Linked DNA regions of Cricetulus griseus. Each later gene encodes a partner of the first gene's protein in a complex. Links are inferred from orthologs where the notes say so. Each region holds a gene or a part of one and is shown on either strand. Other genes may lie near its edges.

Evidence for each region. The genes of interacting proteins can lie anywhere in the genome.
Region 2: the proteins of S1pr1 (region 1) and early activation antigen CD69 are in contact, whole or in part, in a cryo-EM structure (PDB 8G94), measured with the Homo sapiens proteins. The link is inferred for Cricetulus griseus from reciprocal best matches to the Homo sapiens genes S1PR1 and CD69. Residues at the interface, in NP_001307659.1 of Homo sapiens: Asn157, Leu160, Phe161, Ile164, Ser165, Trp168, Val169, Leu172, Ile173, Gly176, Ile179, Met180, Gly181; in NP_001772.1 of Homo sapiens: Val41, Ala44, Val45, Val48, Val49, Thr52, Ile53, Ile56, Ile59, Ala60, Val63.

The regions. Positions count from the first base shown.
Region 1 is NW_023276806.1:42,535,284-42,538,993, reverse strand, and holds S1pr1 (sphingosine 1-phosphate receptor 1), read right to left. Parts: upstream 2,932-3,710; 5' UTR 2,897-2,931; coding exon 1,748-2,896; 3' UTR 307-1,747; downstream 1-306.
Region 2 is NC_048601.1:16,772,669-16,776,418, reverse strand, and holds the start of early activation antigen CD69, read right to left. Parts: upstream 2,319-3,750; coding exon 2,255-2,318; intron 1-2,254. UniProt on the Homo sapiens protein: Transmembrane protein expressed mainly on T-cells resident in mucosa that plays an essential role in immune cell homeostasis.

The DNA of each region.
Region 1 (3,710 bases):
AGTTTTATCTAGCCTCAATGGACTCTGAAATCCAAATAGTTAATTTGTTTGCTGTGGTCTTTAAAAGGTTGATGGTTTTTCTCTTATTCTCTACATGTCTTTAATGTTAGTTTATTGAAGTTTCTCTTCCTGAAAAAGCTAGAGTGGTTTCTAAACAAACCACATTTTCCATACCCTACGTAGCTTATCAAGGTAAAAGCTTTTAAAGAGTACCACAAATTTGCTCTTAACTTTAACTCCAAGAACCACACAATCAACAGATATCTCCGTGAATGACTTTTTAAAAAAGTTCTCTTCACAAAAGGATCTTTAAAAAAATCAGTTTATTAATGTTTAAAAGTTGATAAAGCTATGTGCAAAATGATCCACAAAAGTCAGAAACCTATTAAATACTATTTTTAAAAAGACATTTCTTTGTTTAATTGCACTGAAAACCATACTAAAGAGACAGTAATATATTTTTATTCTCTGTAACATTTACACCCTCCATCAATATCTAATGACAGCCGAAATGAAGAATTCCTGATGCCCCCTGTCAGTTAAAGTAATGCTTTTCGGGTACAAAAGGGTGACACTTTTTTAAGGACTACACATTCAATGGTGTTAACACAGGTTAGGAAAAAACTCTCAATAAGATGGCCTCAAAGAAGCAAATACATTCAAAAATCATAAATTGTATTTTAAACAAGATACAACCATCCCCCAGTTGTTTGAAATGGATCACACAACACTCTGAAATAATCAATAAAAGTGCCAAAAACATTGTGTTTGTTAGAGGAAAGACATCAAGAAGTCACTCTTGGTTTCTGAAAGTTAATCCCGCAGTTCACCGTATTCTGTTTTTCTCCTGTTTCTTCTACAATCCTACCTGACATAATTCAAATAAAGTAGACTTCATTATTCCCATTACAAACACATGTCCATTGTAGTTGTAATGGGAATAAGGAATGCATGAGGAATAGAGAACACACCTAAGATCATGGCTGGTATAATTCAGATAAAGTAGACTTCGTTATTTCCATTACAAACACATATCCATTGTGATTGTAATGGGAATAAGGCATTCCTGTGAGGAATAAAGAAAACATTTTCATACTAAAGACAGCCTAGCAAATCACCAACAACTTGACGCATCGTACATGGACACTTTGGCCTCAGCAAATAGCCTTCCGAGTTAACAGCCTGTCAGTTTCAGACAATCAAGAAATAGAGCCCCGTATAACCTCCTTCTGACGAACAGACAGTTAAGATATAAAATTAGAGAATATGGAGAGGAGGTGGGAAGGGGAGGGGAGGTAAGAAGGGGCGGGAGAGTGGGACATGCATACCACCCTACCAAGCTGAAGGACACATACTCACTTTGCCTTTACAGTGAAAGATCACATCGCAAAACTCCAGGGACACTTTCTCATAGGACCTTAGTCTTTGAGAAGGGGTCAGATGATCCCTTCAGGAGCTTGACAATGCTAGACCTTTGGCTCAGTGCAAAATCAAAGCTCCAGGGTATGGGGGAGGGCAGGAAACCCACTGGAGGCCAGACCTAATCTCCACCCTTCCCAGTGTATTGTTCACAAGAACTACCTACCTACATCATGGCATCGCCAGGCCACACACTCTCCCTTCCCTCCCGCTTTCAGGCTCCCGGGAGCTCCTTCTAGGCAGCAAGGGGAACGGGAGCCATTTTTTAAGTTCTGGGGTAGTGGGTGACCAAGTCAGAATGCTTCCCCAGTATCAACAGCTTCCAGTTTTAGGAGGAAGAGTTGATATTTCCAGAGGACATAATGGTCTCTGGGTTGTCCCCATCATCCTTCTGAGGGTGGGAGGAGTTGTCTGATTTGCTGCGGCTAAATTCCATTCCTGGGATGATGGGCCGTTTGAATTTGCCAGTGGAGTCTCCGTTGGGGCATTTGCAACAGGATATGATCCGGATGAAGGCCCTGCGCATCTCCTTGTTGGTCAGCGTGTAAATGATGGGGTTGGTACCTGAGTTCAGCACAGCCAGAACCAGGAAGTACTCTGCTTTGTACAGGATGCTGCAGGTCTTCGCCTTGCAGCCCACATCCAGCAACAGTAGGATGAAGAGAGGGGCCCAGCAGGCAATGAAGACACTCAGGACAATGATGACAGTCTTCAGTAAGGCCAACGACTTCTCCGAACTGCGGCTGGCCTTGGAAATGTTCTTTCGGAAGGTCAGGCGGCGGCTTCGAGTCCTGACCAAGGAGTAGATCCTGCAGTAGAGGATGACGATGGACAGCAGGAGCAGAGTGAAGATGGTGGTGCAGAAGAGAATATAGTGCTTGTGGTAGAGTGGGAGCACGGTGGAGCAGCTGGACAGCGAGCCGATGCAGTTCCAGCCCATGATGGGCAGGCCACCCAGGATGAGGGAGATGACCCAGCAGGCGCTGATCAGCAGGAAGGAACGTGAGCTGTTGCTCCCATTGTGTAGTTTCATCTTCAGCATGGTGATGTAGCGCTCAATGGCAATGGCAAGGAGGCTGAACACCGAGGCAGCCAGAGCCACAAACATACTCCCTTCCCGCACAAACCACTGGGCGGGGGTGAGTTTGTAGGTGGTGGCCCCAGACAACAGCAGGTTAACTATGTAAGCCACTCCTGCGAACAGGTCCGAGAGAGCCAGATTGCCGATGAAATAGTACATGGGCCGATGGAACTTCTTGGTTTTCCAAATAGTTAGCAAGACAAATATATTCTCTAGGATGATGAAGCAGCAAATGAGAATGAAGACCACTGAAGTGAGCTTAATGCCATGGTCCTTCTCTGCCCCGATGTTCAACTTGCCTGTGTAGTTATAATGTCGCACGATAATATCATAGTTGCCATAGTCGGAGACTGAGCTACGAAGGGGCTTAACCACCGGGACGCTGGTGGACACCATAGCCGCAATGTGTCCCCAGGAGACCGGGGTGGTACTTCTCCAGACGAACGCTAGAGGGAGAGGTTGAGCAGTCCTTCAGTTACTGCAGGCTCCGTCAGTGAGCAATCCAAAGCTTTTTGTGTAGCTTTTCTTTGGCTGGAGAGGGCCTCCGAAACAGCAGCAGCCTTAAAGAAGTTACAAAGAAAAGAGAATCAGGGGAAAGGCCCAGCACACTAGAATAATTCATTCTGGCCAAGGGACTGCTCCAGTTTGTTGTTGATTTGTTTTAAGAAATCTTGGCCGGAGGATAGGGAGGATTTTTTAACTCAAATTATCATTTCTAGTAACAAAACAAAATAAACTAGAAAGAGAGAGCAAGACACACACACACAGAGAGAGAGAGAGAGAGAGAGAGAGAAAGAGAGAGAGAGAGAGAGAGAGAGAGAGAGAGAGAGGTGAAGTAGAAAGAGAGGGAGAAAACAACAACAACAAAAAACTGAGGGCAAACTTCCCTCTGGTCACTAAATCCACAAAGCTGGAATGGGAAACACTGTCCCTTTCTAGTTTTCAGCCCCTCACCATTTCCCCTGGCATTGCCACCTTCAGCTTCCAACCCTGAGATTCCTGTAAGTGGTCACCAGCTCAGGCACTTGGTCACCACCAGCCCTAGGGCCTCTTCTCACAGAAGGCCCCAACTGCCAATTCTGAGTGCAGTGCTGACATGTACTCGCCTGCCCTCCCCCCTCTACAGGCACACACACACACACACACACAGAGAGAGAGAGAGAGAGAGAGAGAGAGAGAGAGAGAGAGAGAGCTCATAGAGACCAGCCCA
Region 2 (3,750 bases), on another chromosome or scaffold:
ATGTCTGTTCTAGCATGTTAGATAAGTAGACAGAGGGAGAAGTCATTTTTGGCTTCAGATTTTGATTTGTTTTTTGTAGGATGACCCTCAACATTCAACACAGTGTGGCCCCACAAGAATGCCCTTATAAGTTCCCAAATTAGATTTAAAAATGTTCACAGAAGCTACAGTGTGAAATGGCTCCATGAATGACATTATAACTGGCAGTGACAATCTGTCTCCACTGTTGTAATCCCAACAAGTAGGGGGTCAGTGAGCTTGCAGCTGGTTTTGGCTGCAAGTTGAGAACTTGTCCCAAATGATTTTTCTCATTATAGCATATAACTTTTCAATGTGGATGACTTTTTATAACTAAAAGAATCATTCTGTAGACTGTATCTTGGAATTTGTGAATTCTTTTTTTTCTTTTTCTTAAAACATCTCATTACAGGTAAAGTTGCAGAGAAGGCACAGTCTAACTAATATCACCAACCCATGCATTTCCTAGAGGTTTTCCTTTTTCTTTTTCTTGGTTAGAGTCCATTTTCAGATTTTCTAAGAGAAGACTTTATCAATCCTGCCAGGATCTGTTTTTTCCCCTGCCTCCCTTTTTACACCTACAGACTTATCTTCAGAGGTAGTCTTTGGCAGGCTGATAACAAGTCCAGAGATGGGTCTAGTTTCACTTCTCCACATATGGTAGTCAGTCACACTGTTCGTACTCCATTTGTCAATAACTCTAGCTCCACAGAAAACACATCTACATCCAAAACAACACCTAGATATCAGCAAGCTCAACACATCGACCCACCTGGTGGACAGAGTGTGGAGACAAGCTCCCACGTGACACTTTATTTCCATCACTGGGGGTCACGGCTAACCACAGCTCAACCTGTCACCTAGGCAACAAAACATTCCCCCGTAACAGCACACGTCTGAGGCCTGTGACTTATTGTAGAGGTTGAAAACAGATCCACCTATTTATCACCTTTCAGTTACCCAAGAGGAGCCTGCTGATTCCTTTACGATTACGGTTATGACAATGAGAGCATAGGCTAAACATAGAAGGGTAGATGGGTCTAATCCTAGACCAGAATGGGATTTTCTGCATTAGCCCCTTCCTTCATTCCACTATTGATTATAGTTTCATTATTATTTGTTATACTTTTTTTTCATTTTAAGTGAGACATACAGGTATGGGTGACTTAGGTCTATAAAAATGAATATTGCAAACTATTTGTCTGTACTTGATTTCATGATCTCAAATAAGGGATGGGTTTTTAAAGGTGATGGAGGCTTTTTTTTTTATAATAAACCAACCTGACAATGAAACACTCATAAAATATCTCCCTCATCACCAACGGTCCCAGCTGTGTTGGGTCTAGCACATTCCATTATTAACTGCAGAGCTCTTACTTACAATCACTCTAGTTCCCAAGTGCTAAGAGCTTGAGGGCTCCTCATCTCTCAGAAACAGCATGGGGGAATTCTGACAATAGGAAGAATAATGTGTGTAGAACAGACACAGGGAAATGTGCAGAGTGATCATGTTTGGATAAAAATGAAGAAAAACATCAAAGCTACACAGAGAAACGCTGTCTTGAGAAACAACAACAACAACAACAAAAACGAAGAAAAAACATATAGTTGTTATAGAATTTGAAATGAGCCATTGGAGGACAGAAATAGGATAAAATGGAAAGAAGGTGTTCCAAAGAGATCATGGCAGAAGATGACATTTTAAAGAAAGGAAGGGCTACATCCCAATAGGTCATCACGAGACACACTGTGAATGTTTATGTGTGTGTATAGCTGTTTTCTCTTAGACTGGAGATCTGTGTGCTTCTGCCCACTGAAGGATTTGTGATGGGAGCACTGAAGAAGCAAGACACACAGAAAGCAGGACAACATACAAGGAAAGACCAAGAACATAACTGTTCATATGAAAAGGAGCTCTTCATAAAGAGGGTTAAGACCTCCTGAATTATGCACAGATGGTTATGGGAAAATGAAAGCAAGTAAGTAGGATAAGGCAGAGAATTTTCCATTTAAATTTGATAGTTGAAATGATGTAATTGATTCGAAGGAAAAGTCATCTAAAGATCCTCTGAAACTCATATAGCTCCCTCTCTGGTATTTACCTACGGCCAGTCTCTCTTTTCCCAACTGAAATAGAACCTAACCAAGTCCTCCAAAGATATCTGTCCATTCTGCACTCTCTTCCATTCACCAGACATAGAGATCATACCAGAATGTAAGAAATCACAAGACTTACCCCTCTCCCCTCTCTCCAGATGTGAAGAGCTGTTCTCTGTTACAGAGCCCTCTTCAGAATTCATCTTCTTTTTTTCTTCTCAAAATTCCCTGGCTTCTCTGGTGTATCTTAAGAGGGCTACAGTGAGCTCTTGCTGGAGCTGTCTTGTTCAGTGTCTTGGTCTCTGAAGCGTTTCAGCTTTTAAACCCCATCAGTCTGGCCCCACCCCTTCCTCCTCTCTTCTACTCGGTCAATTCTGCCAGTTCTCTTTAATTTATGCTCCAGTGGCCCAGACACTTCACCGTGTGTTGTGGTGGTGAGCTTCGGGCTTTCCCTGCTGTCTGAAATGTGCTTTCTCACAACAGTAGTTAAGTGGGATTTTCCCAGAATTGAAGACACCTTTCCCCAAATTTTTAGAAAATCATAAATAACTTAGGAAATAGCATAATCTAAGCAAAGAGTTAATGGTTTGAGGTCACCGTATTTGATATGGAAAAACACTGGAAGAGAGAGCAAACTTTGTTTTGTAATCCTACGCATGCATTTCTTTGTACCTGTAGCTATTGGCATTTATTGGGTATCTATTGTGTGCCAGGTGCTGCTGGTAGCCAGAAGGTGCGCTGTTGAGTAGGGAATTTTAAAATCTCTATCCGCGTGGCTCTCTCTCCAACTGGGACAGGTTTTATTTATGAAATTATGAATTTAAAAAGTGTGACGTTCACTTCTTTTCCCCCACAGGGACTAGTTCTTTCAAGTGTCATTTAGTCAGGAGTTGCTTTGGTGCAGGAAATAGAAAGCTTGTGGCCTGGAACTTCCTCGATGCGTTCTAAAACTGTTTATCTTCGGTAATCTATTTCATCGTCCCTTGCTCATTTTCTTGTCATCCTCCACTGTCAGACTTCCTTTGTTTCAGTGCAGAAAGTCTTTCTGTTTTCAGTCCCCATCCTGTAAGTTATTTGTTTGGTTCAGATATCTGTGACCTCAGATATTTGAAATGTGATTCCAATACCCATATCTCCCCATTGTACCAATCTCATCCCGGTAAGTTATTAAGTACAACACAAAACAAAGTGAGAAAGTGTCCATTTGGTGACTCAGGGGTTCTAATGAAAAGGATAAAAGTATCACTCTGATTAATAACTTTGGTGCCCAAAGAACACAGTCACTCCTGGAATAAGGTTGTCAGGTTTGCAGAATAAAGCTTTAGTGACGATGCTAGCTTAGGTAGGTTGGAAGATGCCATGCAGACAACTGAGGGGAGCCAGCAGGTGCATTTTTCTGCTTGAGACACAGACAGGTGCATATTGATCCTGGTGCCACTTTGTTCCCAGTACTTTCCTGCACAGCAGCTGGGGTGAGGTTTATAAATACATCAGAGCATCTTGGTGAGACAGTCAGCTCCCAAAGGCTTCCTCCCAAAGGCTCCCTAGAATCCAAAGAGCTCCTTAAGGCCAAGAAGAACCTATACAATGGCCTCTGGCCACCTCCTCCACCACTCTCTCTCCAACAGAAAACTT